Stegostoma tigrinum: one gene and its partners. The protein of the gene in region 3 purifies or fractionates together with the protein of the main gene of each other region. This does not show direct contact. Links are inferred from orthologs where the notes say so. Each region holds a gene or a part of one and is shown on either strand. Other genes may lie near its edges.

Region 1 (6,877 bases), on a different chromosome or scaffold from region 3:
GAACAGCTTCTTCCCCACTGTTACTGGATTTCTAAATGGACCTCTCAAAGTTTACATTTAATGCTCACTATCTGTGCACCTTCTCCGCACCCATAACGTTGTATTCTTCATTGTGTTCTATTGCACTTTGTATGGTATGAGCTGCCTGTACTATACAGAAAACAAAACTTTTCACTGTACCTATGTGACAATAATAAATCAACTCAAATCAAAATAGTACACATATACGCCAAACCATCCTCAAAGGGCATTCAAGAACTAGATGGATTTTTAACAATCATAGATGGTAGTTTCATGGTCACTCTTAGTGAGACTGGCTTTGTTCTAGCAAAGAGATGGGATTTAAACCTGCATCCCAAATGCATTAACTGTGTTCTTCAAACTCAAATTAGTCCAGGCATATTGCCACTGGACCCATTTCTCCCCTAAGTGAGTTGGTACTTTTAATTTATTAAAATATCCCAAAGTGCTGGATAGGAGAGTTATAAGAAAATTGACATTGAGCTATATCAGACCAGATGGCCCAAAGCTTGGTCTGTGCAAGGCCCTAAGGATTATCTTATGAGGAGACCCAAATAGAAAGGTTTAAGGAGAAAATCCAAGAGCTTAGATTCCAGACTACAAATTGTAAACCAGAAATGCTTGGAGGCCAGGATTAGATAAACACATATCTCGGGGAGTTTCAGAATTAGAGATGGGATGAAGGAGAGGTGATGGCGGGATTAAGAAACAAGGGCATGAATTTTAAAACCAAAACGCAACGTTATGGGTAAATGGAACTTGGTGAGTTATTTATGTCGCTGATGATTATTAACTATTGTAGTTAATTTTCTTTATTCAATTTCATTTTTGATGCAGGCCTTTGGATCACATCGTTCTCCCCACAACCTGTATTTCATTGTTGTTTCCCAAACAAGTCATAGTGGCTGCATTGAGCTCATTTATTCACTCTGGTCCTGTGATCCTGCTCACTCCTGATCATTAAAACAGATCACAAGTGGTCTGCCCCAATTGATCCCATTCGCAGCATTGGACTGAGACACTGTAATGAACCCATTAGCTTGGATTAGACTATAAGACCATAAAATGTAGCCGAATCCAAGTAGTTTGGGACTGTGGGGCTGAGGAGAAAAGGTTGGAGGTTACAAAGATAGGAAAGATGGGAGAATAACACGGGCTTTTGTGGAATTAGTAATTGTTTCCAATCATGCCATAGGCTGCAGAGAACATGTCCGCGAGGAATTTGGTAACACCCAGACAATTCTGTTTTTAAAACAGAATATTCCTTAGAGAATTATTTACTTTTTCTTCCGGTTTATTTTAATTTTATACTGAATTTTTACATTTTTAGTTGGAAATACAGTTCAACTTGTCAGTCGAAGCAACCACTTGGACTCATTCAAAAGCTTTACTTACTTAGATTTACATTTACACTCCACTGTTAAGATAATGAAGCATGCTAAAGTGCTTTTATACATGCAAGGCACATGTAACTTTGAAATACAGAACTTCCTTGTCTGATTACTAGTTTCCAACCATCTCCACGGCAACAACAATCATGTATATTTATACAGCATCTTTAAAAATAATTAAACATTATAAAATTATTAAACTAAATACGACACTGTGTCACATATTACGTCAGGTGGCCAAAAGCTTGGTCAAAGAGCCGATTTTGAGAAGTGTCTTTTTAAATTTATTTACAATAAATTTACCACAAATTTATTGAGGATGTCACTGGCAAGACCAACATTTTGTTGACCAATCCTATTTTCCCTTTAACTGCTTGGCCTGCTGGGCCATTTCAGAGGGCAGTTGAATCAACCCTTGGGACTGGAGTCACATGCACACCAGAGCAGGTAAGGACAGCAGTTTCCTTCCCTAAAGGACATTTGTGAACCCTATATGTTTGTACAACAATGGTAGTTTGATGGCCACTGTTACTGAAAATAACATGTTCCAAATTTACTCATTGACATTAAATTCCACCAGCTCCCATGATGGGATTTTAAACCCATGTCCCTGTTGGCCAAGGCTCCTGGCTTACTTGCCCCATGATGTTTGTTCTATGTTCCCACTACAACCCTTAAAAGTGGAAAACAAGATATGGAAGTGTGCTTCTTTAGAGAGGGCATTCCAGAGCTTTTGGTCCAGGAAGCTGAAGCTGGGGCCTCCAATAGTGGAGAAATTAACATTAGGAATGTTTGGGATTGCATAACCAGATTGTTTCGCCTGAAAAGTGGAATGTGATTCATCTATGGAGATGATTTGTATGACTGGGAAGAGGAAGACATTGCATTTTTGCACCTCGTGTTAAGACCAATAATTGCCTGTAGTCCAGGTCAGCTGAAACATGAGCTGAGTCAGGGAAAATCCTGCTGCACACACTCCAACCCTGAGTAGATTGTGCATAGTGACATTCCTATATACCAAAGTAGGCTGGAAATGAGACATGGGCACGAGGACAGATTAGTAGTTAAAGTGTGACAGCCAGTGCACTCAGGTGTAGTAGTCTGTAGGATTCCTGTCTCTAGGATTACATACTAACATATGTGCCCAAAATCCAGAGTAGAAATGGGCCATTTTCCAAGGTGACTTAAGCGGGTAACACTTCAGCTTCAGATGGGCATGGTTACCAGTCTCACTCCAGAAACTGGACCTCACACTGACATTCAAAAGCAGTACTGAGGGAGTGCTGCACCATCAGGGGTAGCAATAAATCAGGGCTCAGTCTGTGCTTTGAGTTGGATGGCAGTGATCCAATCACTGTTTCAAAGAACAATGATGTTCTCCAATATCTTATGAAATAGAAGCAAGAGCAGGCCATTTGGCCCTTCAAGCCTCCTCCACTAGTCAAATAAAACCATGGCTGACTTGATTGTGACCTCAACTCCAATCCTAATCCTGTGCTTTCTCAACTCCCTTGTCTATCAAAGGTCTGCCTAACACACTGACAGAAAATCCCACACACTATTGACTCTCAAGAAATTCCTCCTCATCTGCCTTAAACAGGAGACTCCTTATTTTGAAACTGTGTCCCCTAGTTCTCAATGACTCTATGAGAGAAAACATATCTGCAGAATTTTATATTTCAGTAAAATCAGATTCTTCCAAATTCAAATGTGTATCGGCCCAAAAGACCCACCATTCTTGGAAGACTAATGCTGTCATGCCCGGAAGCAGTCAAGCAAACTTTCTCTGAATTGCCTCCAATGCATGTATTCCCCAGATATTCGAGATGAAAACTTTTTTGCTCGGCCTGCTGTGTTCATCCAGCTCTACACCTTGTTATCACAGCACAGCAGACTATTTTTGTCTTTCTATCTCTGTAACATATGTATTGTGGAAAACGCTCATTTGTCCTGCATTGGTAGAATTTTGTCTACTTCAAAGGCACAGCATATGTGTCCGAATCAAACGACTATGGGTTCGACCGAGTCTCATTGCAGTAGGTACGGGCCAGTTATTGACTGCAGCACCGACATGAATGGGTCAGGGGCTCACTTAGCAGCCGATGGGAGCATGCTGTGCGCAAATTAGAGACGGGGCTTCCTAACACGACCACAAGAGGCCGTGAACATTGTGTTCGGTGGAGAGGCGGATTTTGAGATTTCTTCTTGAAATTGACATCTGCAATGCATCGGAAGGAAGAAGCTCCCGAATGCGGCCAGGCAGGGTCCCCGCCCCCGATGAGTAGGGAGGGCTGAGGGTGATGGGATGAAGGAAACTTCAGTCTCTCGGAGTCAGACAGTTGTTGGCGGGGTTGAGTTTAAAGCAGTGACGCTCTATCAGTCCCCTCCCTCCCCGGGGCCTATGTTAATGAGAGGGGGTGTATCCATTCTCGGTTTGCCTGTGAGAGCGGAGGGGAGGGAGAGCAGCTGGGAGTTTGTGGGTGAGCGAACCCTCCGATTCTCTGTGTTGTTTGTAGATGCTTTCCTTTTCTGAATGGTTTTTCTTCTGTTTTGCACAAGGGGTACGGGCTGGAGGAAGGAAAGAGTCCGTTCACTTGGAGGGGGGTGAAGAGGGGAGTGTGTGTGTGTGTGTGTGTGTGTGTGTGTGTGTGTGAGTGTGAGTGAGAGAGAGAATGTGTGTGCGCTTAGGAAGGGGGTGGGGGAAGAGCTCCCCGGCCTTGGCGAGTGCTTCCTGAGCCTGGGGAAGGGCTGGGTTTGGGGCGGCTGCTGCTGCGAGCCAGGGGCAACGTTCGACTTCACCCGCTATCCCCCTGGGGAAGGGGGAGAAAAACACACCGTGCTCCTGAAGCCACCCCCGCCCCCCCAAACCGGGGCTGCCTCTTCTCGGGGAGGGAAGGTGAGGAGAGGGCGGTGTTGCTCTCACTCTCTCTGGCCATCAGCTTACTATTTATAATCTGCTCGGTGGGGAGTAGCGGCACGGAGAGAGCGGGGCTGCCCGCTCTCGTGTAGCTGGAGAGGGGAGCGAGGCGGAAGGGAAGCTGCGCAGTCTACGGGCCATTTTGTTGTGTCGGATTCTCGGAGCCGCTTTGTGGGGAGGGGAGGGGACGGGAGGGACTTGATCGGATTAGGCTCCACCTCCCCTTGTGCCTTCAGACACCCCCACACTCCTCCCGTGCTGGAGAGCCGCTTCCATCATTCTCCCCGCGCATACCCTCTCCACTCCCTCACCCCCAGCGGGAGTGTCTCCGATCCCGGAATGTGTAACAAAAGCCTGTCGCAACTTTCTGGGTCGTGGAACCAGCCTTCCACCGGCCTCAGCTCCCGGGGACGGACAATGAGGAAGAGAAGCGGCGGGGAGAGGTGACCGGAGGGGGGGGGGGGCGGCGGGGGTGGTGTATGATGTTTCATTCGTTCCCGGCCCCATACTGCCGCCACCACCACCTTCCCCGACTGTGTGCACCCTGGCAGTTAAACACCACTACCACCACCACCACCTTCTCCTTGGGTAGCGAATCTCTTCCTACCCGCCCCCACTGCCATGGGTTAGCACATCCACAGGCAGCAACCAGTCGTCGTTGTCGTCGTCCTCCTCCTCCTCCCCGCGACTCCGGGGTCTGCGGCCTCCTGGCTCGCTCCCACACAGTAAACACGGTATAGCCCCGCCCCCAGATCACTGGCCCCGCCTCGTACTTCCTATTGGTAACTACCGACTGTCGCCGCCTTCCCATTCCTGATTGGTTGGTACTATAAGGAGCTGATTGGCTCCTGCCCCCCTCGGATGCGTCACAATGGAGGTTCACATAACGGGGCGGGGATTCCCTCACGCGCGGAATGGGATTGTAACAAAGAGACAGGGAATTCCCACCCGGAATTACTCTCTCCGGTGGAGAGCCCAACGGTGGAGTCACCCTCGTCGGGGTTTGGGGGGCAGAGAAGGAAGGAAGCCAGGAGGAATCCTGCTTGCTATAACCCTCACCTGAATCAGTCAACCCTGGGGAACTGGGGCAGGAGTCCTGCCCGGAGTCCCCCTCTCCCGCGGGGAAAGACAAACGAGGACTTTCCCCCTGGAATTAATCTCACCCTGGAGGAAGGGGTGGGGTGGAGAAAGAGAGACCTGCCCGCTGTCACACTCTCGCGGGGAAGAGACGGATCCACCCAGCGTCACCCGGGGATATTGGATTTCCTCCTGCTCGGAGTCACTCACTGGGTTTCCCGCTCCTCTGAAACTTAAATGACAGCAATGAATCCAGTTCCTTCCAGCTTCCAACCTGAAACCTTCAGGAAAGAAAGAGGAAGCCGAATGCCCTAGTTGAGTCACCCCGGGGAGCCACTGCTGTATTTTGGGTACCGAACTCCTAAACGCGAAGGGCCGCGTGGATTCGGCGAATTTTGAAGCGTCCTGGTTCTTATCACAAATTCAAGAGTGAAAACACTACCCACCAATGAAAAGCTCCAGGGCCAGTGTTGACTGTATCGAGTTCGGGGCGAGCAAGGGGTGGAGCCCAGACTTTATTGACCCAATTGTAATCATCCTTCAATCTTATTTATACTCTGGTGTTCTGTGCCCCTCCAAAAACAGTGAATTCAGCGATCTTACGGTGTTTATCGAACTTTCGACCTACAGGCGATGAATAATATTTACTATTAGTGGTAGCAGAGAGGTTGAACAGTTAGAAGATTCGAAGCTGCTGAGCCGTCTAGGTCTCCTGAGAAAGGAAATCGACTTTTACTTTTTTTAAAAAAAGTGCACGAACACCGCACTGGGCCCGACTCCATATTTTAAACTCAAAAAATACCCTCCCGCTTGCTAACTTGGTTCTTCATTCCCTAAGGGCTTGAATCATAAATTTGTAAACACGTTAACAAATCAAAACACAAATAGCCTTACATAAAGAAGGTCTGGCAGTCTCCATGGAGAAACAACGTAAAGGTTTCGAGTCCAATCTGACGCTGCTTGAGAAGTGACCTTGTTTGGGAATTGCAAGCTAGGGGGAGGGCACCTTGCAAAGTTCAATGCTGTTGAAGCTACTGTCTTGTTTTAATCGTTCATAATTTCTCGAATGCTATTCGTTAAGTTCGGGGACGTGGGCCGCTTTCGCACACAACCAACTGCTTAATATTAAAATATTTTAAAATACGAGATTAGATTTAAGAAACTGTTCGGACTCAAAGTATGTATTCCTAGTTTGGTTGGAAGGGTTTTTGAACCTGCTTCTTGGCAACATAAATAATAGTAATACGGTTCTGTTGGTTTATCGTTCCTCGACTTACTCACTAGACGTTAACTTTTGCAGTGAGCAAGTGCCCCTTCGGTGAATTTAATATTTTAAAATTGACTTTTAATTAAATATGCAGCTTTTGAGCAATCTGGGTAAAGAAAGGATTTAGGTCAGCACTGATTCTCTCAATCTCATGCCACTAAAACAAAAACTGACTTGAAAGCACAGTCACACAGCATGGAAACA
Region 2 (7,121 bases), on a different chromosome or scaffold from region 3:
GCCAAGTATAATCATTCAATTGTATCATTCACATTTTATGAAATTACAGTAGCAAACTTTTGTTTTTAGTATTGGCCATACTTGGGTAGAAGGGATTTAAAGTAATCTTGCTGCGAAACAAACAACTTATAAAATACGCAGATCTAAATTTCAGATTTCCATTATTCACAATGACATTTTTTTGACTACAGTTTAGAACTTCACGGTACAAAAGTAAAATGGGCAAGTGGAGAAGAGTTTCACTGCTGAATTCAGTCCAAAACTAGGTACAGCTTTCAAAGGAGGTAAACATGGTGGAATGGGTGGCATTTCTGCCTCTAGGCTAGAAATCCTAGCTTCAATGATCCCACCAGAACTTAAATGACTAAGAAAGGAATAATCATAAAATGGCCAAACAGATTGAATGTCACCCTGTAAATTTCTCCAGAGAGTATGTTAGCTCACTTGGTTGGATGGCTGATATGTGATAGAGAACAACACCATCTTCGTTCAATTTCCACAATGGTTAAGGTCACGAATACATAGTGACCCAAGCTAAAGTCACCTATCAGTCACCTTTCTCTAATGAGGGAGCAGCTTTATGGTCCTTTGGGACATTAGCAGCATTACTTGCTTAAATCCCAGCAGCATACACCAACAAGCAGTTAGAATGGGAAAGACTCCTCGTCAGCCCTGTAATGGAAAGAACTTTGGAGCCGCTACCATCATGTGCCTATCATTCACACCTCCAAACTACAAAATGCACACAGGAGTGCATTTTATCGTAACAACCCAAGCATGGAGTAAACTGTAACGTACCACCACATTGCAGAAGTTGCTTTACTGTCAAGATAGAAGTTAGGAGAGCATATTTGCAGAAGCTTGCAACTTCAGACAAATATTTCACAAGATGTTTTTGTTAGACACATTACTGCAAGGATATTTAGCATATTTAGGTTCCAATAACAAATCTAATATATAAATGAGCATTTTTTTCCTAGCTCCACTGAACACATCCATGATATTCCCCACTTACTAGCTCTATGCAGGGTCCTTATCCAGCTGCTGACTATGAGAATTTGAAGTTTTTTTTTGTTTGATTTCAGCAGATCCTTAATTCACAATTATAAAAATCTGCCATTTTGTAACTCTTTTAATCAACTCCAACATCACAAGTGGCACAATAACTATCTGCTGAAGAGTGTCAATTGTGTGTTGAAAAGTCTGTGTCCCAAGATAAATTGTTAACCTCATTCTGAAGTCAGAATGGCACACCTGGGACCACAACAGGAACTCAGATTTTCATTGTTTGGGGCCTAGGAGTATATGAACAAATTTTAATTTGTTAATTTAAATATGGTCAAATGGCTAAATACTGTAAATGGGATATAACATGATGCATTTTCTTTTTATTATTTGTAAACATGGATTAACTCACTAGTAGAAACAAGGCTAATAGGAGAAAAAAAGGAATCTTCAACCGTGGTCATCTTCTACTTTGTATCCGCCTACTCAAGCCCCTAGGAAAGAATAATCAGCAATTGCTCACATGTATAAAGTCAGCATTTCAAACATTACATTTTGGAGTAAACATGATAGTAACTATTTGAAAATGTGTTTAAATTAGAAATACGTTTAAATAGAAAAGGGATACATAGTGCAAGATGGCAAAGGTTATACCAACCTAATCATGATCAGTCATATGAACATAAACATTCCAAAAGCAAAAATACAAACCAATTCCAATGTAATTACTTGCTCTTGTGTAGCATTTGATTCAAATTACAGACTTCTATCTAATAATCCCAATTGTTTTAAAAAAACAAACTTCTAAGCCAGATTTTAAAAAGTTAAAGTACAGCAATAAAAAAAACCAAGAACATTAAACTACTCTTACTCTTTGAATTCAAAATTATCTAACATATATAAAACATCTAACATTAAGGAACACTAGGTCACCATTTTACATCTTCCTAGTTTCCAACCCCCTCCTCATACCACAACGACCAGACTAAAAAAATGCGACAGTAGCAAAGAATCGTTTCATAATGAAAAATAAAGAATGCGCACTTCGTAAGAATGCTAAGGTTCAAGTCCTGAATTTCCACATACAAGGATCCTATTAAATCACAAAAAAATGCCAGTTACAAACTGATAACTAAACACCGATATTTACAGTATTAAAACACAAAGACTTCCGCACATTAAGGAATTGGAGTCTCATTTAAACTACCTTTTAACTCATTACCTCAACCTTAAATAAATAACCGGCGCAGGAACAGCGACAGAAGATAAAATCCAAGGCAATTGTTAACAAAAGTTTATGTCAATCTCTTAGGTCTATGAATCAAAGAAGGTGCATTTCCCCCCAGTTTACAGGTTGAAACCCGACCTCGCCACCCACCCGACAGGGGCAGGCAGAGAGTTCACAAGTCCTAGAAACCTTCACGACCAAAACAAATGAACCACGGCCTCCTTGGATTGTTACACGGACTTCCGTTCGCTCCCGCCACTGGCCAGGAGTTTGGGCCTAGATAATTTTGGTGTACCCGACTCGATTGAGATGGAAGTTTTAAAAAAAAAATCAGCTTGTTGGTTGATTGCTCTCGAGCGGCTCTGCAGTGCTACCAGGCCCGCACTCCGCGCTCACTACGAGTCAGCGGATGGAAGTAAGAGTGAAGCACTGATCGGCTGGCTAGCTGGCGCACTAGCTGCTGCCTGCCCTACCTGCCCAATTCAGTCCTGATGTGCTCCGCTGGCTGTCCGGACTGCCCGCCCTCTGTCTCTCTATTTTTCTTTTCCACTTTTTTTTCCTCTCTCTTTTCCCCCTCTCCCTCTCCCTCTCTGAGGTTCACTCGGTCCCGCCAAAACACGCGCTGACACAACGCGCTTGCGCACACCTCCAACCAGCACTCCCTCCGTTTTCCAAAATTTATCGAATAACTTAACATAAACTATTCACGAGTACACGCCTACGAGGCACAGAACCAAACCTAGATCTTTTAAATAAAAAAAATACAGTCCTTATCGAAACACTAATCATTTCGGAGCCAGCCCACCCGCCCGTCACGTGACCAAGAATCACTTTTAGGAAATTATTTTGGCAGATTGTATTGAACTATTCAACCGAATATTGACTGAAAAAACGATAATGTCCCACGAAACAAAAATGTCTGCGATATACTTAAAAATTCGATTTCTAAATTGCGTCATACCCGAAGCTGTTTCGACTTTTTCCCTTAGAAGCCCCTGAGGCTTAATTAGTGTGTTCAATTAAGGGTGATACTTCTTTTAAAAATAATTTTTCAGATCTGTACTATAAACAAATTTTCTTTTATTTTCGGAAAATCTTTTTCGATCCTCGTCCGGTTTCGTCACCAAATTTGCCGTTGGCAACTTGGCGTCACGTGACTAACGAACGGCCATTTTGTAGGACTGAGAGAAGGTTCTAGAAAATTGAGCGGCGACGGTGGTGGCTGTGTCGAGGAGGCTGTGCGTCACAGCTTGTCTGTTTACTCGTTTTTCTTTAGATATAACGCAATTTTTTATCGATATAGCGTTGTTTACGAAGCGCTTGAGTTGAAGTATAGCATTTTTATTTAAAAATTATTTTTTCGAGCAGGATGGAGGTAAGGGATAGAAAAAATGAGGGTTGGGGAGGGTGGCGTAGCGTATTTTTTTCAGTGTACAATTTTGAAAGGTTTGATTTGAGATCCTATGGTGATAGAAGCAAATGGGGATGCCGCGCCGAAAATGGTGGGTAATCGCAGCCTGTTTGCGGGCTTTACCGTTGCTACTGGGAAGCAGGAGTCGAGTGTAGGTGAAATATATGGGGGATATTGCGCTTCTCGGGTCTTTCTCGATATTTTACAGCAGTTTTTTTATGTCAACTCGTCCGTTGATATCTAAAGAGAGACTTGTCTTGCTTCTTGAGAAGTTTGAATGTTCACTAACATTTCAGGATTGAACCCGATTTTTTAATAAACGGTAATCTCAAACGTTCCATATTTGCGTTACGTTTACTATACCATCTAGAAGGTTTGAATCTTTTCAATACCAAAAAAATTCAGCACACACACACTTGTCTTTGCAGGGGAGTTGCTGAAGGCAATTATAGAATGAGCACTTAGTGTTTTATGCAGTTCTGAATCATTGTAGAGACTAAAAAGCCTTCCTGGAAGGTGACAGGTAAAGTGGGTAAATTGGTTCTTTTGTATAGGAAAGGTGATTTCAGAAACGTCTTGGGGGAAGATGACTTGAGATAGATTGGATTAAAAAGCATCAGAAAAACCTACCAAGAGAGAATAAACTGCAGGAGATTTGGGGGGGGGGGGGTGTGCAAAAACAGTAGTTTGGAGGGTTTTTGCATCAACTGTAAGCCTCCATGATGCACTTCTCACTGATGCCTGAGAAGTGCTGACAACATTCACCCTACATGAGCAGCAGTTCCTACTGAAGTTGTAAATCCCCGTGGCCAGAGGGCTGAGGTGTGTAGAATTACAACACTGTTCTCTTAATCTTGTTACATTGAACTGTATAGAAGACCAAAAGTAGAAATTTGTGTATTTAATGAGTTGCATTTTACATGCCTGCTTTGGAATCCCAGGTCTGGCTTTAAGTCCTATTTATAGGGCTTGTGTGCATCACATCAGGCTGATGCTCCAGCGGGGAGTCTTAACCTGCCAGAGATACCACTTTTTTTAATGTGATGTTAAATAGGTGCTGGCTGTCCTGTCAGATGTTTGAAAATAAAGTGGGGTATTTTCTTGAGAGACAACCATAGAATTACTCCTGGTTAATATACGTTCTTTGTCAAAATCACAAACATGTGGATGTGGTGTATATGGACTTCAGCAAGGCATTTGATAAGGTTTCCCATGGTAGGCTCATTCAGAAGGTAAGGAGGAATGGGATACAGGGGAACTTAGCTGTCTGGATACAGAATTGGCTGGCCAACAGAAGACAGCGAGTGGTAGTAGAAGGAAAATATTCTGCCTGTAAGTCAGTGGTGAGTGGTGTTCCACAGGGCTCTGTCCTTGGGTCTCTACTGTTTGTAATTCTTATTAATGACTTGGAGGATGGGTCAGCAAGTTTGCAGACGACACAAAGGTCGGAGGTGTCGTTGACAGTATAGAGGGCTGTTGTAGGCTGCAGCGGGACATTGACAGGATGCAGAGATGGGCTGAGAGGTGGCAGATGGAGTTCAACCTGGATAAATGTGAGGTGATGCATTTTGGAAGGTTGAATTTGAAAGCTGAGTACAGGATTAAGGATAGGATTCTTGGCAGTGTAGAGGAACAGAGGGATCTTGGTGTGCAGATACATAGATCCCTTAAAATGGCCACCCAAGTGGACAGGGTTGTTAAGGAAGCATGTGGTGTTTTGGCTTTCATTAACGGGGGATTCAGTTTAAGAGTCGTGAGATCTTGTTGCAGCTCTATAAAACTTTGGTTAGACTGCACTTGGAATACTGCGTCCAGTTCTGGTCGCCCTATTATAGGAAAGATGTGGATGCTTTGGAGAGTGTTCAGAGGAGGTTTACCAGGATGCTGCCTCTACTGGAGGGCTTATGAAGAGAGGTTGACTGAGCTCGGACTTTTTTTCATTGGAGAAAAGGAGGAGAGGGGACCTAATTGAGGTATAACGAGAGGCATAGATAGAGTTGATAGCCAGAGACTATTTCCCAGGGCAGAAATGGCTAACACGAAGGGTCATAGTTTTAAGCTGGTTGGAGGAAAGTATAGAGGGGATGTCAGACGCAAGTTCTTTACACAGAGTTGTGAGAGCGTGGAATGCGTTGCCAGCAGCAGTTGTGGAAGCAAGGTCATTGGGGTCATTTAAGAGACTGCTGGACATGCATATGGTCACAGAAATTTGAGGGTGCATACATGAGGATCAATGGTCGGCACGACATCGTGGGCTGAAGGGCCTGTTCTGTGCTGTACTGTTCTATCTGGTTGTCATCACATGTTGAGAACTTTGCCTGTAAGTTGGCTATCAAATTTCCTGCATTACAACAGGATCTACACTTCAAATAGAACATAGAACATAGAACAGTACAGCACAGAACAGGCCCTTCAGCCCACAATGTTGTGCCGACCATTGATCCTCATGTATGCACCCTCAAATTTCTGTGTCCATATGCATGTCCAGCAGTCTCTTAAATGACCCCAATGACCTTGCTTCCACAACTGCTGCTGGCAACGCATTCCATGCTCTCACAACTCTCTGTGTAAAGAACCCGCCTCTGACATCCCCTCTATACTTTCCACCAACCAGCTTAAAACTATGACCCCTCGTGCTAGCCATTTCTGCCCTGGGAAATAGTCTCTGGCTATCAACTTTGACTAAGGCACTTTGGGAGACCCGGTGGTCTTGAATAGCGTGGCATAAATGCAAATGCTTCTTCATAGATGTTTGTAAAGAGCTTGTCTATTTTGCACTTGTCCTATGGAGGATACTGCATATTAAGCTGCAAGTGTATTTGTGGCCCTGAGAATAAGGATGGGAGCTGTGTTGCAGCTCTTGCAGACAAAGGGAGAGTGTGAGCATTGGGTCCCTTCATATTTTGGGCAGAGGGGTCATTTTGCAGCAATCTGCAGATGTGAAAGGTGAAGATGATTCTGAAGAAGGCAAATGTATGCTATTTACGGAATGGGATAATTCACTAATGCTAACGTGGTGTATGATAGCCCACAGGCATAACAGTAACATCCCTTGGAACCCAGGTTTATGTAATTTTAATCCATGTGTGAATTAAAAAAAAATATATACTTGATTATCAACAGTAACAGGTTACATTTATATACTGTGTGAGAAATAATGCATGTTCCTGGAGTATTGAGGTCAAAGCTGGAATCTTATCAGAATGGAGCAGGGCAGTACATAGGTGAAAGTATCCAGTATTATAGAGGATGAAAGTTCAGTTTGGTGTTAAATAGGAAGTGTGGTGGATAAGTTGGTGAGGTTCTTGAATTTTTGGCAGGGGCCAAGGATTGTTGGCTTTGGGCTTCACAACTTCTTCTGGAATCTTTTTGATTTCAGACAATTAAAATGCATCCAGAACGGCATGTCAAGGAAGCAGTTTGCTGCACAGATAATTGAAGGAGAGGTCTGTGTTCTTAGATTTGGATCGTTAGAGA
Region 3 (7,019 bases):
GTCATGTACACACATCATTTAGGAAAAATAACCGCAGATAACCAAGTACAAGTCTGACTTCACATTCCTTCCTTCAAACTCCTGAATGTGCCTCACCAAATTAGATAATTAGTGAAAAGGACATATACCGCATTCCACAAGATAAAAAAACAGTCGCAATCATCTTGAGGCAACTTTGCACATCTGCTTGTAATGTCAGCTCTAACATTATCAGGTGAGGCACACTGAATAACACCTCAAAAACAGTGCCGAAAAATTGGAGCAAATTCTATACAAAAAATTTCCATAGTTTAATTTCTTACCAAACTACCATATTACACAGGAAGTTAAAGCTTGGAGCCACAGGTGACTATTGCCATGTATTAGCCTGACCAGTTAGGAATAGTGCAATTGTGAGAAAGCATTGGCAAACCAAATACTCTTTTTTTTTTGCAAATTTTGGGCAACAATCAATGCTTGCAGATTTCTTGCTGAAATAACAGATAATTATCTGGCTTGCAAACAAAACTGTGTTGCAACTGAAACTCCCACAAACTGGAAAACTGGTTAACTGCATTTTTCTGATAGATTTTGTTCAAAGTATTGGAACTTAATAAACAGTTAGGAATTTACCCAATAAACACATCTGGGATTTGCATTAAAAAAAGCAATTTTACTGAATTTCAAATGTAAAAAAAGTGAGAGGAGCACCTGCAATTAATTTACAGTCCAACAGCAACACACATACATTAGATTTAGTGCCCCTGCAGTGCTTCCCTCCAAAACCTGCACAGCTAGGAAGTCTACAAGCACAAAAACAAGTTGCTAAATACATTTAGTCCCTAATAATCATTCTATTCTCAGTGATGTTATTCATAACATCTGTAAGGCTCATCCTCATTTATCTTCCACAGGTCAAGAACTATGTGCCTATTTTTTTCTTTACTGAATGTTGGTTTCAATTAAGAAGGTAACTCAATTGTGGTCAAGGTAATAATTGGTAATATTTGTGTCATCATTCTGTTTAAAAAGTCTCACCTCAACACTAAATGTTGGAGGTCAGTCAAATAGGTCACAGATTCCTCCACAACTTTCAGGGCCATTGTTGCTCTGTGCTTACTTCACAGGAGACAAATAGAGGAATCTAAGTGTCACCTATTGAGGCAATACATTCTAGGTGCCCTGTAATGGACAATAAACAAAAATGTCTGGGCCTAAGGATCTGAATGTCAACCAAATATTAGGGTTTCAGCCCACCAGTGGAGTATTTGGCATCCTGGCTGCTCATCACAAGAAAAGTAAAATTTCTCACGGGATCCTAAAAACTTATACTTTCAATTTTTTTAAAATATTTAAATATGGCACATAACTAAGTGTTCAGTTGGCTTTTTAAAGGCATCATTCTACCTGATCAATGATTACACACACACTTCCTGGAGTCCATTTTGTGTTATGCATACAACCAAAAAAAACCCGTACAAGTATCTTAACTATTTACATTTTGTTATTAATAGGCGGAGAGAGGGGAAAAAAAAGTTTCTCGAAAACGACGAATAAGAATTGCTTTCAGCAGCCGGTCGTCCGAAGCCGCTGTATCAAACACGTTTACACATCTACAAAAGAGGAAGGGAGGGAGAAAAACAGCTCACGACGAATGTGTTAAATGCTCCCATTAGTGCAGGTTTCCGATGGATCGGACACACTTTCACGCGAAACGCGAAGATTGGGTGAATCAGGGGAAAAGAAGAGGGATAAAAAAAACATACTGGAACAAAAAAGATAAGATGCCAGCGATTTCGAGCGAATCTATTTGTTTGGCTTCAGTACAAGAGTGGAATGGATGTAAATAGGACGCGCTGAGGCTTGTGGGCAAAATGAATTGTTTTTGAAAACATTGCACAGGGAAAGGGGAAGGAATGAAAATCTCCAAAAGTGAAACGAAGATAGAAAATCGGCAAGCAAGAGATGGAGGAGAAGAATTCCTAAGACAGCGAGGGTTAAGGAACCACATTAAAGGGCATTCTGCACGACTGGGCTACTGGGCCTTTTGTAATGTCTCTAACCTAGACACTATCTATCACTCAAGCTCTAAACGCCTTGAGCTGGCCATTTGACCAGACTCAGGCGACGGGCGGGAATCGATTTTTTTAAAATATACAAACATCAGCAGTAAAGTTAAGTTTCGGGACATCTTACTTTAAAAATAAAGGTTGCAATAATATTCTGAAAAGGTAATCCAAATAAAAGAGGGAGGATACTGGGACAGCAGCTTGAAGCCACATCCCCAGCAACTATCAGGTTAAAAATAATAATCCAGGCTTTTAAGATTAATTTGATTTGTTTTTTCTTTGATTACACGAAGTAAATTACGTTTAGGGGATGGTAAAATAAGTTTAAAGATTATTTAAGTATATAAATAAGATTTATTTTTTTTTAAAGAAAAATCAAGGCGACGAGACGGGGTCTATGTTAATCCTCCGTTACGTACCGCTGTCTGAAACCTCGGCTGTTCTTCCTGAAAAACAGACAAGTGCACAAAATGATCACACAGCCGGAGAGTTGGCGCTTTACAAAAAAAATCGACAGAAAGAGAGAGAGAGAGAGAAAAGGGGGAAAATCCGTAACTACAGAGAAAAAAGGGGAAAAATTATTTTTTTTTCACAATCAGGTGGAAACAACTCCCAACACGTTAAAAACGTTTTATTATTATTTTCGAAACACAAACGAAACTGAAAAATCAAGCAAAATTTCGAAACAAAAATAACAATAATAGAAGGCACCAGGCGAGACTTACGTCGCTTTCGACCTCGATGTCATCGTTATCGCTCATGCTTTTTTTTAATTTAAAAATAAACCCAAAAAAAAAGAGATCGCAAAAACGGAAATTAAACTTTCACAGAAATAGTAAATTAATGTCAGAACGTACACAAAACAAAAACAAAACACACAACTGTGAAGGGAGAAACCAACAGCAAAAATCACTCGTGACTCCGGGAGCAGCTCCGCCCGACAGGCCACGGCTCCCCTACATCAACCTCGCCCCCACTGCGCATGGGCGGCTGGGCTGGTGCCGCTGGGGGATGTAGTACCTTTCACAATTGGCGTCCACTATCCGCTCTGGGCGCCTGGACTACCTTTCCCATAATCCCCGGCCCCACCACCGACTGAGTTCCACCCGTCAGCTGGATGGAAGAGGTAATGGGAACTGCAGATGCTGGAGAATCCAAGATAACAAAGTGTGGAGCTGGATGAACACAGCAGGCCAAGCAGCATCTCAGGAGCACAAAAGCTCCTGAGATGCTGCTTGGCCTGCTGTGTTCATCCAGCTCCCCACTTAGCTGGATGGGAGAGATGGCCGGAAGTCGTCCGACCACCCTTGGACGCGGGGCACGACGGGAATTGTAGTTCCCCTCACCCCTCCCTGTTTCCCGGCCGACTCTTCCTGAGAGTTATAGCGGCCGAAAGGAGGAGGGCAACATGGCAGTGGGGAAAGTACGTGGAGAGAGTAGGATGTTTGACTTGGCAACGGGCAAAACAATTTTCTTCGGACTCAGAGTGAAGATGAAAGCACCCACACAAAGCGATATTGTGTGGATGTCCAAATTCCTTTGCATCTACAACTTTATTTCACAAACAATTCGTATGAGACGATGTTAGAATATCTAAAGTTTACAGGTTATCTCGTTGAGTCACAATGTTACCAGCTCTTTGATGACCAACTCCCTCACCAGAGATAGTAGGAACTGCAGATACTGGAGAATCTGAGATAACAACTTAATAAGGATCCTCATAAGAGGTTAGTGGGCTAAGTTAAAACACATGCTATGGGTCAATATATTGGCATGGATTCCAGATTGGTAGACAGACAGGAAATAGAATGAGGGTAAATGGGTCTTTTCTCAAATAGATGACAGTGGCTAGAAGGTTATCACAAAGATCAGTGCTTAACCGTCAGCTATTTGCAATATACATAAATACCCAGGGCCAGGTACAATGTTTTTAAGTTTGCTGACATCACAAAGCTTGGTAAGATTTGTGAAGAAGATGCAAAAAGGCTTCAAGTTAAACAAGTTTAAACAAGTTAAGTGATCAAAACACTGCCAAATGCATTACAATGTGGCTAAATGTATACACAAAGTATACACTTTGGTGTGAAAAACAGAAAGGAAGAGTATAAAGTAAATTGTGGTACATTTCCTGGTACAACAGGAAGTTGATGTGCTGGAAATTTTGGCAAACACTAAGATTGATAAGTCCCCAGGGCCAGACCAGATTTATCCTAGGTTGCTCCGGGAAGGGAGAAAGGAGGTTGCTAAGCTGCTGGCGAAGATCTTTGCTTCCTCACTCTCCACGGGAGTCGTACCGGAAGATTGGAGGGAGGCAAATGTTGTTCCTCTTTTCAAGAAAGGGAATAGGGAAATCCCTGGAAATTATAGACCAGTCAGTCTTACGTCTGTGGTCAGCAAGGTTTTGGAAAGAACTCTGAGGGATAGGATTTATGACTATTGGAAAAGCATAGCGTGATTAAAGGGAGTCAGCATGGCTTTGTGAGGGGCAGGCCATGCCTTACAAATCTTGAGTTCTTGGAGAAAGTCATGAGACAGGTTGACGAGGGTCGAGCAGTGGATGTGGTGTGCATGGACTTCAGCAAGGCATTTGGTAAGGTTCCCCACAGCAGGCTCATTCATAAAGTCAGGAGGTCTGGGATACAGGGTGATTTGGCTGTCTGGATTCAGAATTGGTTGGCTGACAGGAGGCAGAGAGTGGTTGTAGATGGTAAATATTCTGCCAGGAGATCAGTGCTGAGTGGTGTCCCACAGGGCTCTGTTCTTGGGCCTCTGCTCTTTGTAGTTTTTATAAATGACTTGGATGAGGAGGTTGAGAGGTGGGTTAGTATGTTTGCTGATGACACAAAGGTTGGAGGTGCCGTTAGTAGTATCGAGGGCTATTGCAGGCTTCAGCGCGACATTGACAGAATGCAGAGCTGTGCTGAGAAATGGCAGATGGAGTTCAACCTGGATAAATGTGAGGTGATGCATTTTGGAAGGTCGAACTTAAATGCTGAATATAGAATTAAAGGCACGATTCTCAGCAGTGTGGAGGAACAGTGGGATCTTGGTGTTCAAGTGCATAGCTCCCTCAAAGTTGCCACCCAGGTGGATAAGGTTGTTCAGAAAGCATATGGTGTTTTGGCTTTCATTAACAGGGGGATCGAGTTTAAGAGCTGCCAGCTCCAAAACCCTGGTGAGACCACATTTGGAATATTGTGTCCAGTTCTGGTCGCCCTATTATAGGAAGGATGTGGAGGCTTTGGAGAGGGTGCAAAGGAGGTTTGCCAGGATGCTGCCTGGACTGGAGGTCTTGTCTTACGAGGAGAGGTTGACTGAGCTCAGACTTTTCTCTCTGGAGAGAAGGAGGAAGAGAGGTGACCTGATCGAGGTGTACAAGGTAATGAGAGGCATGGATAGAGTCGATAGCCAGAGACTTTTCCCCAGGGCAGGATTGACTGCCATGAGGGGTCATAGTTTTAAGGTGTTAGGAGGAAGGTATAGAGGAGACGTCAGAGGGAGGTTCTTCACCCAGAGAGTTGTGAGCGCATGGAATAGTTTACCAGTGGTAGTCTTGGAAGCGGAGTCATTAGTGACATTTAAGCAACTGCTGGACATGCACATGGACAGCAGTGAATTGAGGGGAATGTAGGTTAGGCTATTTTAGTTTTGGATTAGGAATATTCCACGCCACAACATTGTGGGCTAAAGGGCCTGTACTGTGCTGTACTTTTCTATGTTCTAAGGTGTAGAGCTGGATGAACACAGCAGGCCGAGTAGCATCAGAGGAATAGGAAGGCTGACGCTTCGGGCCTAGACCCTTCTTCAGAAATCACACATCCCTCACTTCAAGTCTTTGTCGAATCGCTCGAACATGCCTTAGAAACTCTCAGGATCAATCTCCACAGGTTGTCCCACAGGGAGAGAATATATCCATTTCGTTCTGCTTCTTTAAGGCTTTGGGACTTGATGTGTGATGTAGCTTGATGTAGAAGGCGTGAACTTTCTGAATAATTGGGAGCAATAATGCTAATACTGTGACATTTTAAGGAGCGTTTTGGAGTGATCTTTGGAACTGTGTGAGTTGTCCGTTTAAGAGTTAAAGAACAGGACCAAGATGGGTTATATGTTTGTTGGCCATTTGAATGGTGTGCAGTTCATCAAAGATAACAAAGTGTGGAGCTGGATGAACACAGCAAGCCAAGCAGCATCTCAGGAGCACAAAAGCTGACGTTTCAGGCCTAGACCCTTCATCAGAGAGGGGGACGGGGAGAGGGAACTGGAATAATTAGGGAGAGGGGGGAGGCGGACTGAAGATGGAGAGAAAAGAAGATATGTGGTGAGGAGGTAGGGAGGGGATAGGTCAGTCCAGGGAAGACGGACAGGTCAAGGAGGCGGGATGAGGTGGTAAGTAGGAAATGGAGGTGCGGCATGAGGTGGGAGGGAAGGGATGGGTGAGAGGAAGAACAGGTTAGGGAAGTGGAGACAGGCTGGGCTGGTTTTGTGATGCAGTGGGCGAAGGGGACGAGCTGGGCTGCTTTTGTGATGCAGTGGGGGAAGGGGAAATTTTGAAGCTTGTGAAGTCCACATTGATACCGTTGGACTGCAGGGTTCCCAAGCGGAATATGAGTTGCTGTTCTTGCAACTTTCGGGTGGCGTCATTGTGGCACTGCAGGAGGCCCATGATGGACATGTCGTCTGAGGAATGGGAGGGGGAGTTAAAATGGTTCGCGACTGGGAGGTGCAGTTGTTTGTTGCGAACCGAGCGGAGGTGTTCTGCAAAGCAGTCCTCAAGACTCCACTTGGTTTCCCCAATGTAGAGGAAGCCACACCGGGTACAATGGATACAATATACCACATTGGCAGATGTGCAGGTGAACATCTACTTAATATGGAAGGTCATCTTGGGGCCTGGGATAGGGGTGAGGGAGGAGGAGTGGGGGCAAGTGTAGCACTTCTTGCGGTTGCAGAGGAAGGTGCCGGGTGTGGTGG
Region 4 (6,975 bases), on a different chromosome or scaffold from region 3:
ATGGTATTACAGTTAAATAAAGGTAATTACAGGGGCATGAGAGAAGAATTGACAAAAATCGACTGGAAGCAGAGCCTAGCAGGGAAGACAGTAGCGCAACAATGGCATGAGTTTCTGGGTGTAATTGAGGACACAGTACAGAGGTTCACCCCAAAGAAAAGAAAGATTATCTGGGGTAGGATTAGACAGTCATGGCTGACAAAAGGAAGTCAGGAAATGTATCAAAGTAAAAGAGACAGCCTATAAAGTGGCCAAGAGCACTGGGAAATCAGAAGATTGGGAAGGCTACAAAAACAAACAGAGGATAACAAAGAGAGCAATAAAGAAGGAGAGGATCAAATATGAAGGTAGGCTAGCCAGTAATATTAGAAATGATAGTAAAAGTTTCTTTCAATACATAAGAAACAAACAAGAAGCAAAAGTAGACATTGGGCCGCTCCAGACTGATGCTGGAAGGCTAGTGATGGGAGATAAGGAAATAGCTGAAGAACTTAAGTACTTTGTGTCAGTATTCACAGTGAAAGACACGAGTAGTGTGCCAACAATTAAGGAGAGTCGGGGGGGCAGAGTTGAGTATGGTAGGCATTACAAAAGAGAGAGTGCTAGAAAAGCTAAAAGGTCTAAAAATTGATAAATCTCTTGGCTCTGATGGGCTACATCCTAGAGTCTGAGGGAGGTGGCTGAGAAAATAGCGGAGGCTTTGGTTATGATCTTTCAAAAGTCACTGGAGTCATTGGAAAATCATTGTAACCCCCTTGTTAAAGAAAGGATCAAGGCAAAAGATAGAAAATTGTAGGCCAATTAGCCTCACGTCAGTCGTTGGTAAAATTCTAGAATCCGTCATTAAGGATGAGATTTCTAAATTCTTGGAAGTGCCGGGTCAGATTAGAACAAGTCAACATGGATTCAGTAAGGGGAGGTCGTGCCTGACAAACCTGTTAGAATTCTTTGAAGAGGTAACAAGTAGGTTAGACCAGGGAAACCCAGTGGATGTTATCTATCTAGACTTTCAAAAAGCCTTTGACCAGGTGCCTCACAGGAGGCTGCTGAGTAAGGTGAGGGCCCATTGTGTTTGAGTGTGGTCCAGGAAATGGCTGATGAAATTCAACGTGAGCAAATGTGAGGTCCTGCACTTTGGAAAAAAGAATACAGGCATGGACTATTTTCTAAATGGTGAGAACATTCATAAAGCTGAAGTACAAAGGGATCTGGGAGTGTTAGTCCAGGATTCTCTAAAGGTTAACTTGCAGGTAGAGTCTGTGATTAAGAAAGCGAATGTAATGTTGTCACTTATCTCAACAGGGTTGGAATATAAAAGCAGCGATGCGCTTCTGAAACTTTATAAAGCCCTAGTTAGGCCCCATTTAGAATAACATGTCCAATTTTGGGCCCCACACTTCAGGAAGGACATAATGGCGCTGCAGTGTGTCCAGTGGAGATTCACACGGATAATCCCTGGAATGGTAGGTTTAACGTATGATGAACGGCTAAGGATCCTGGGATTGTATTCATTACAGTTGAGAAGGTTGAGAAGAGATCTAATAGAATCTTACAAGATAATGCATGGCTTAGAAAGAGTGGATGCTGGGAAGTTGTTTCCATTAGGCAGGGAGACTAAGACCCGCAGGCACAGCCTTAGAATTAGAGGGGGTAAATTTAGAACGGAAATGAGGAGACATTTCTTCAGCCAGAGTGCTGGGCCTATGGAATTCATTGCCACAGAGCGCAGTGGAAGCCGGGATGTTAAACATCTTCAAGACAGAAACTGATAAATTCTTGATCTTGCAAGGAATTAAGGGCCACAGAGAGAGTGCAGGGAAGTGGAGTTAAAATGTCCATCAGCCATGATTAAATGGCGGAGTGGACTCGATGGGCCAAATGGCCTTACTTCAACTCCTATGTCTTATGGTCTGTTTCCATGCTGTACAACTCAAGGACCGTACATGGCAGCCTCTGTGGGAGAGAAATTGGAAGCTGACATTGGGGGCAGCACCATGGCTAGCATTGCTGCCTCACAGCACCAGAAACCAGAGTTCAATTCCATCCTTGGGCAACTGGGTGGAGTTTGGACATTCTCTCCATGTCTGCTTGGATTTCCTCTGGGTGCTCCTGTTTCCTCCTACAGTCCAAAGTAGTGCAGGTTAGGCAAATTAACTATACTAAAAATTACCCATGGAATATGCAGACCTACAGGCATAGGGTTGGGAATGTCAGTCCAGGTAGCAAGTTCTTTGGAGGGTCAGTGTGGACTTGATGAGCCAAACTGCCTGCTTCCACACTGAAGGGATTCTATTAAAAAAAAACTACAGATGTTGGAATTCTGAAACAAAAAAAAACAGAGAAACTCAACAGGGTTGGCAACATAGGGGCAGAAAGCAGGCAGCAAAGTTCTGAATCCAGTAACCCTTTTTCAGAAGGGTTATACAGCAATTTCTGCATTGGTTTCAGGGTAAATTAGACAATGTGTTGCAATCATAGTTCACTGTTACTCATTGAAAACAAACGCCAGGGACTGCAGACCTAAGATTACTAAACAGTGCAGCATCTGATAACATTGTAACGAGACGGATGCTTTGTCTTGAACCTGTAGATCGAACCCTGACAGCACAGACTTTTAGCAACATTTTAAAAAAACTCCAAGATTATCACTCACGTGGATATCACAGCCTTAGCAACAATGTCTCTCTGTTTACTTGCAAATTTTACTAACTGGAAACAAATTGGCAAGAAGGGAAAACATTAAAAACACACAAACCCTAGTTTCTACAATTTGTGGTTGAGGTATCATCGACTTCAAAAACAGCTTCATTTGTCTGAAGCAGCTGGACTTTTAGTCATTACTCATCCTAAAGCTCACCTCATAAATTGCACAAACTGTCTTATTTATAATTAATTCAGCACACTTTCTTTCAAACAAAAACACAAAAGACTCACAATCTTGTTCCTCCTCTTTGTGCAACTTGATGTTCGAATTCAGGTACACAACGCCGCCATTTCAGGCCGGATCATTTCCTTTAACGTGCTCGCTCATTGGAGGGGGCCGCAACCCCCGTCAACCAATGGAAAGAACAATAGCAGGGTAGGCGCTACCGAGCACTCTGGGAGATGTAGTCCATCAGCATGAATGGACAATTTTTAACCCTCACAGATAATTGCAGGCAGTGTAGGTTTTCCACCGCAAATTAAATTATCCAATGTTTTTCTACTCCAAACTAAATTATCCAATGTCCTGAAATAGCCATTTTCTGCTCCAAGCTAAATTATTCAATGTTTTGAAATAGCCATTTTCTACTACAGACTCAATTATCCAATGCTTTGAATTAACCATTTTCCACTGTAAACTAAAGTATCAAGTGTTTTGAGTAAGCCAACATAAAAATACATGGCAATGCAAATTTCATGCCAAAAAGATTTGAATAATCACACATTCAGAGTTCACATTGAAATGATTAAGATTCTGTAAGGGCTCGATTGAGTTGAGTCTGAGATTGTCTACACTGGTCTTGGAAGTAATAAAATACAGAAGCACAGTCTCAGGTTAAGGGGCCAATCATTTAGGACTGAGATGAAGAGAAATTAATTCACTGAACGGTTATCAATCTTTGAATTCCCTACTCAGATGGATGCAGAAACTATTGTTGAATGTATTTAAGGCTGGGATAACAGTTTTTGGTGTCTCAGGGAACAAGGTCTCTGGGGCATGGATTGGAGAGTGAAGTTGAAGCCCAATATCAGCCATGATTGTAATGAATGCTGAAAAAGGCTCAACAGGCTGAATGGTCTCTTCTGAACATCTAACTTAATAATTTTGAATGATATGCAGCACCTACTGATTAAAAGCAAGCAGGACTAGACTCAATGTTGAGTTTTCCTCAGTACATAATTTATTTGCAGAAAGTGGACCTGTATAACTTTCTTCTTTAATTAATTATTCACAGTAGTTTATTGTGTAGTCAGGGTTAGGGGATGTCTATAAGTATCCCATAATACACTGCACGGATCCATGTATTTTTCATGCAAGAGTTCTTTACTCACAGGAAAATCTGTACATGCATCAGAGGCTGTAACTGTTGTTACATCAGCAACACTTCAGCTTTGATGTTAACACCATGACTACAGTTATGGATACTGTTTGCTACCCAAGGTACAGACAATGTGGTATATACCCTTGAGAAGGTGGTGGTGAGTCGCTTTCTGCAGTCCAGGTGATGCAGATACACCCACAATACAGAACAAGGTCTCTGGGGTGTGGATTGGAGAGTGAAGTTGAAGCCCAATATCAGCCAAATTATGTACAGAATTGCAGAAATTTGACCTAGCAACAAGGAACAGTGGTATCAATCCAAGTCAAGGGCCCTGCAGTGATTTATTTTGGCTGAGATGGTTGACCTCTAAAAAGCTGCTAATTTGTGTTCAGCAGGTGTCCAGGATGACGACACAAATCCAAGGCATAAGAGTTGGCTTGGCTTGTAAGGACAGTCTGCAAGAGCCCACCCAACATGTCTGATTACACATCAGCACTTACTAACTCAGCACCATCCCCTACAACTGCCCTTCCCTTACCAACCCTCAACATCAGCAACTTACACCACCCAACCCCCCCAACACCTCCAACAAACCCCAACTCCAGGCATATTGTTCCCTGATGTGAATGTGTCCTCTATCCCTTTCCTGAGAGTTGGCCACCCTAGTAAAGGGCAAGTTGCTGCAGTGCATCTTGTAGATGGCACACACTGCTGCCACTGAGTTTCAGTGGTGAAAGGAATGATTGCTGAAGGTGGTGGCTAGGGTGCCAATCAAGTAGGCTCCTTTATCCTTGATGTTGTTGAGTTTCATGGTTGCCCGATTGCTGAATACATTTCAGACAGAGGACTATAAACAACCTGGCAGTCAGACTTTGTCAGGGGCAGGGAGAAAAGTGGAATTGCGGTCACAGTCAGATCAGCCATAAATCTTAGCAAATCACATTCAGGCTCGAGGGGCTGAATGGCCTGCTCCTGCACCTAATTCATAAGTTCTTGTCCAGTTGGAAGCCAAGCGGACAGCATTCCATAACATTGCTAACTTATCCCTTGCAGATGGTGGGCAGACTTTGGGGAGTCACTCACTGCATGATTCCCTGTCCTTGGTTGGCTCTTATAGTTACAGTGATAATGGGAACTGCAGATGCTGGAGAATCCAAGATAATAAAGTGTGAAGCTGGATGAACACAGCAGGCCAAGCAGCATCTCAGGAGCACAAAAGCTGACGTTTCGGGCCTAGACCCATCATCAGAGAGGGGGATGGGGTGAGGGTTCTGGAATAAATAGGGAGAGAGGGGGAGGCGGACTGAAGATGGAGAGAAAAGAAGATAGGTGGAGAGGAGAGTATAGGTGGGGAGGTAGGGAGGGGATAGGTCAGTCCAAGGAGGACGGACAGGTCAAGGAGGTGGGATGAGGTTAGTAGGTAGGAGATGGAGGTGCGGCTTGGGTTGGGAGGATGGGATGGGTGAGAGGAAGAACAGGTTAGGCAGGCAGAGACAGGTTGGACTGGTTTTGGGATGCAGTGGGTGGAGGGGAAGAGCTGGGCTGGTTTTGGGATGCGGTGGGGGAAGGGGAGATTTTGAAACTGGTGAAGTCCACATTGATTCCATTGGGCTGCAGGGTTCCCAAGCGGAATATGAGTTGCTATTCCTGCAACCTTCAGGTGGCATTATTGTGGCACTGCAGGAGGCCCATGATGGACACATCATCTAAAGAATGGGAGGGGGAGTTGAAATGGTTCGCGATTGGGAGGGCAGTTGTTTATTGAGAACCGAGCGGAGGTGTTCTGCAAAGCGGTCCCCAAGCCTCTGCTTGGTTTCCCCAATGTAGTGGAAGCCACACCGGGTACAATGGATACAGTATACCACATTGGCAGATGTGCAGGTGAACCTCTGCTTAATATGAAAAGTCATCTTGGGGCCTGGGATAGGGGTGAGGGAGGAGGTGTGGGGGCAAGTGTAGCATTTCCTGCAGTTGCAGGGGAAGGTGCCGGGTGTGCTGGGGTTGGAGGGCAGTGTGGAGCGAACAAGGGAGTCATGGAGAGAGTGGTCTCTCTGGAAAGCACACAAGGGTGGGGATGGAAAAATGTCTCGGGTGGTGGGGTCGGATTGTAGATGGCGGAGGATGATGCGTTGTATCCGGAGGTTGGTAGGGTGGTATGTGAGAACGAGGGGGATCCTCTTTGGGCGGTTGTGGCGGGGGCGGGGTGTGAGGATGTGTTGCCGGAGACACTGTCAAGGACGTTCTCGACCACTGTGAGGGGAAAGTTGCAGTCCTCGAAAAACTTGGACATCTGGGATGTGCGGGAGTTACGGTAATTTTTATGCCTGTTTCGGTTCAGTTAAAAGTCAATGGTAACCCGAAGGACGTTGACAGTGGTGTTGAATGTCAAAGGGAGATAGTTGGAGTCTCTCTTGTTGAAAATGGTCATTGCCTTACACTTGTGTGACACAGACCTCGCTTGCCTTTTAACAACTCAAACCTAGATCTTGTTGACATCATGCCACACTTGGATGTGGATTGCTTCAGTCTCTGAGAACTCGTGAATGGTGCCGAACGTCATGCAATCATCGGCAAACATCCCACTTCTGACTTTGCAATGGAGGGAAAGTCATCGATGAAGCAGCTGGAGGTGATTGGGCCTAGGACACCACCCTGAGGAACTCCTGCAGAGACATCCTGGAGTTGGAAAAGATTGCCCTCCAACAACTACGACCATCTTCCTTTAATTTAATTGTGTGGGAAATGGTGGGGTTCTATTTTAATCGTTTATGGGGTGTGAGTGTTTCACACAAGATCAGCATTTGTTGCCCTTTCTTAATAACCTACAAACTCAGAGGCTTGCTCGATCACTCCAGAGGAGATGTCCATGACATATCTGAGGTCCTGGAACCATACATAGGTTGATGAGATAAAGACAGCAGATTAATCTTCCTTCTCAATGAACCAGATT

What was found.
Region 1: the proteins of max (region 3) and sin3aa purify together in Homo sapiens (affinity purification with mass spectrometry; 3 studies listed by BioGRID and IntAct, with this or other methods). This does not show direct contact. The link is inferred for Stegostoma tigrinum from reciprocal best matches to the Homo sapiens genes MAX and SIN3A.
Region 2: the proteins of max (region 3) and chromobox protein homolog 3-like purify together in Homo sapiens (affinity purification with mass spectrometry; 3 studies listed by BioGRID and IntAct, with this or other methods). This does not show direct contact. The link is inferred for Stegostoma tigrinum from reciprocal best matches to the Homo sapiens genes MAX and CBX3.
Region 4: the proteins of max (region 3) and lethal(3)malignant brain tumor-like protein 2 purify together in Homo sapiens (affinity purification with mass spectrometry; 6 studies listed by BioGRID and IntAct, with this or other methods). This does not show direct contact. The link is inferred for Stegostoma tigrinum from reciprocal best matches to the Homo sapiens genes MAX and L3MBTL2.

What each region holds. Positions count from the first base shown.
Region 1 is NC_081389.1:4,646,727-4,653,603, forward strand, and holds the start of sin3aa (SIN3 transcription regulator family member Aa), read left to right. Parts: upstream 1-3,850; 5' UTR 3,851-3,892; intron 3,893-4,204; exon of another isoform or gene 4,205-4,308; intron 4,309-4,625; exon of another isoform or gene 4,626-4,772; intron 4,773-5,637; exon of another isoform or gene 5,638-5,935; intron 5,936-6,877. UniProt on the Homo sapiens protein: Acts as a transcriptional repressor. Corepressor for REST. Interacts with MXI1 to repress MYC responsive genes and antagonize MYC oncogenic activities. Also interacts with MXD1-MAX heterodimers to repress transcription by tethering SIN3A to DNA.
Region 2 is NC_081355.1:56,506,215-56,513,335, reverse strand, and holds the start of chromobox protein homolog 3-like, read right to left. Parts: upstream 3,009-7,121; 5' UTR 2,880-3,008; intron 2,866-2,879; exon of another isoform or gene 2,707-2,865; intron 2,696-2,706; exon of another isoform or gene 2,384-2,695; intron 2,071-2,383; exon of another isoform or gene 2,050-2,070; intron 2,017-2,049; exon of another isoform or gene 1,664-2,016; intron 1,500-1,663; 5' UTR 1,470-1,499; coding exon 1,418-1,469; intron 1-1,417. Other genes in the region: heterogeneous nuclear ribonucleoproteins A2/B1-like, read left to right, coding at 3,603-3,608.
Region 3 is NC_081363.1:71,192,942-71,199,960, reverse strand, and holds the start of max (protein max), read right to left. Parts: upstream 3,018-7,019; 5' UTR 2,810-3,017; coding exon 2,774-2,809; intron 2,495-2,773; coding exon 2,468-2,494; intron 1-2,467. UniProt on the Homo sapiens protein: Transcription regulator. Forms a sequence-specific DNA-binding protein complex with MYC or MAD which recognizes the core sequence 5'-CAC[GA]TG-3'. The MYC:MAX complex is a transcriptional activator, whereas the MAD:MAX complex is a repressor.
Region 4 is NC_081391.1:5,934,442-5,941,416, forward strand, and holds the start of lethal(3)malignant brain tumor-like protein 2, read right to left. Parts: upstream 3,020-6,975; 5' UTR 2,935-3,019; intron 1-2,934. UniProt on the Homo sapiens protein: Putative Polycomb group (PcG) protein. PcG proteins maintain the transcriptionally repressive state of genes, probably via a modification of chromatin, rendering it heritably changed in its expressibility.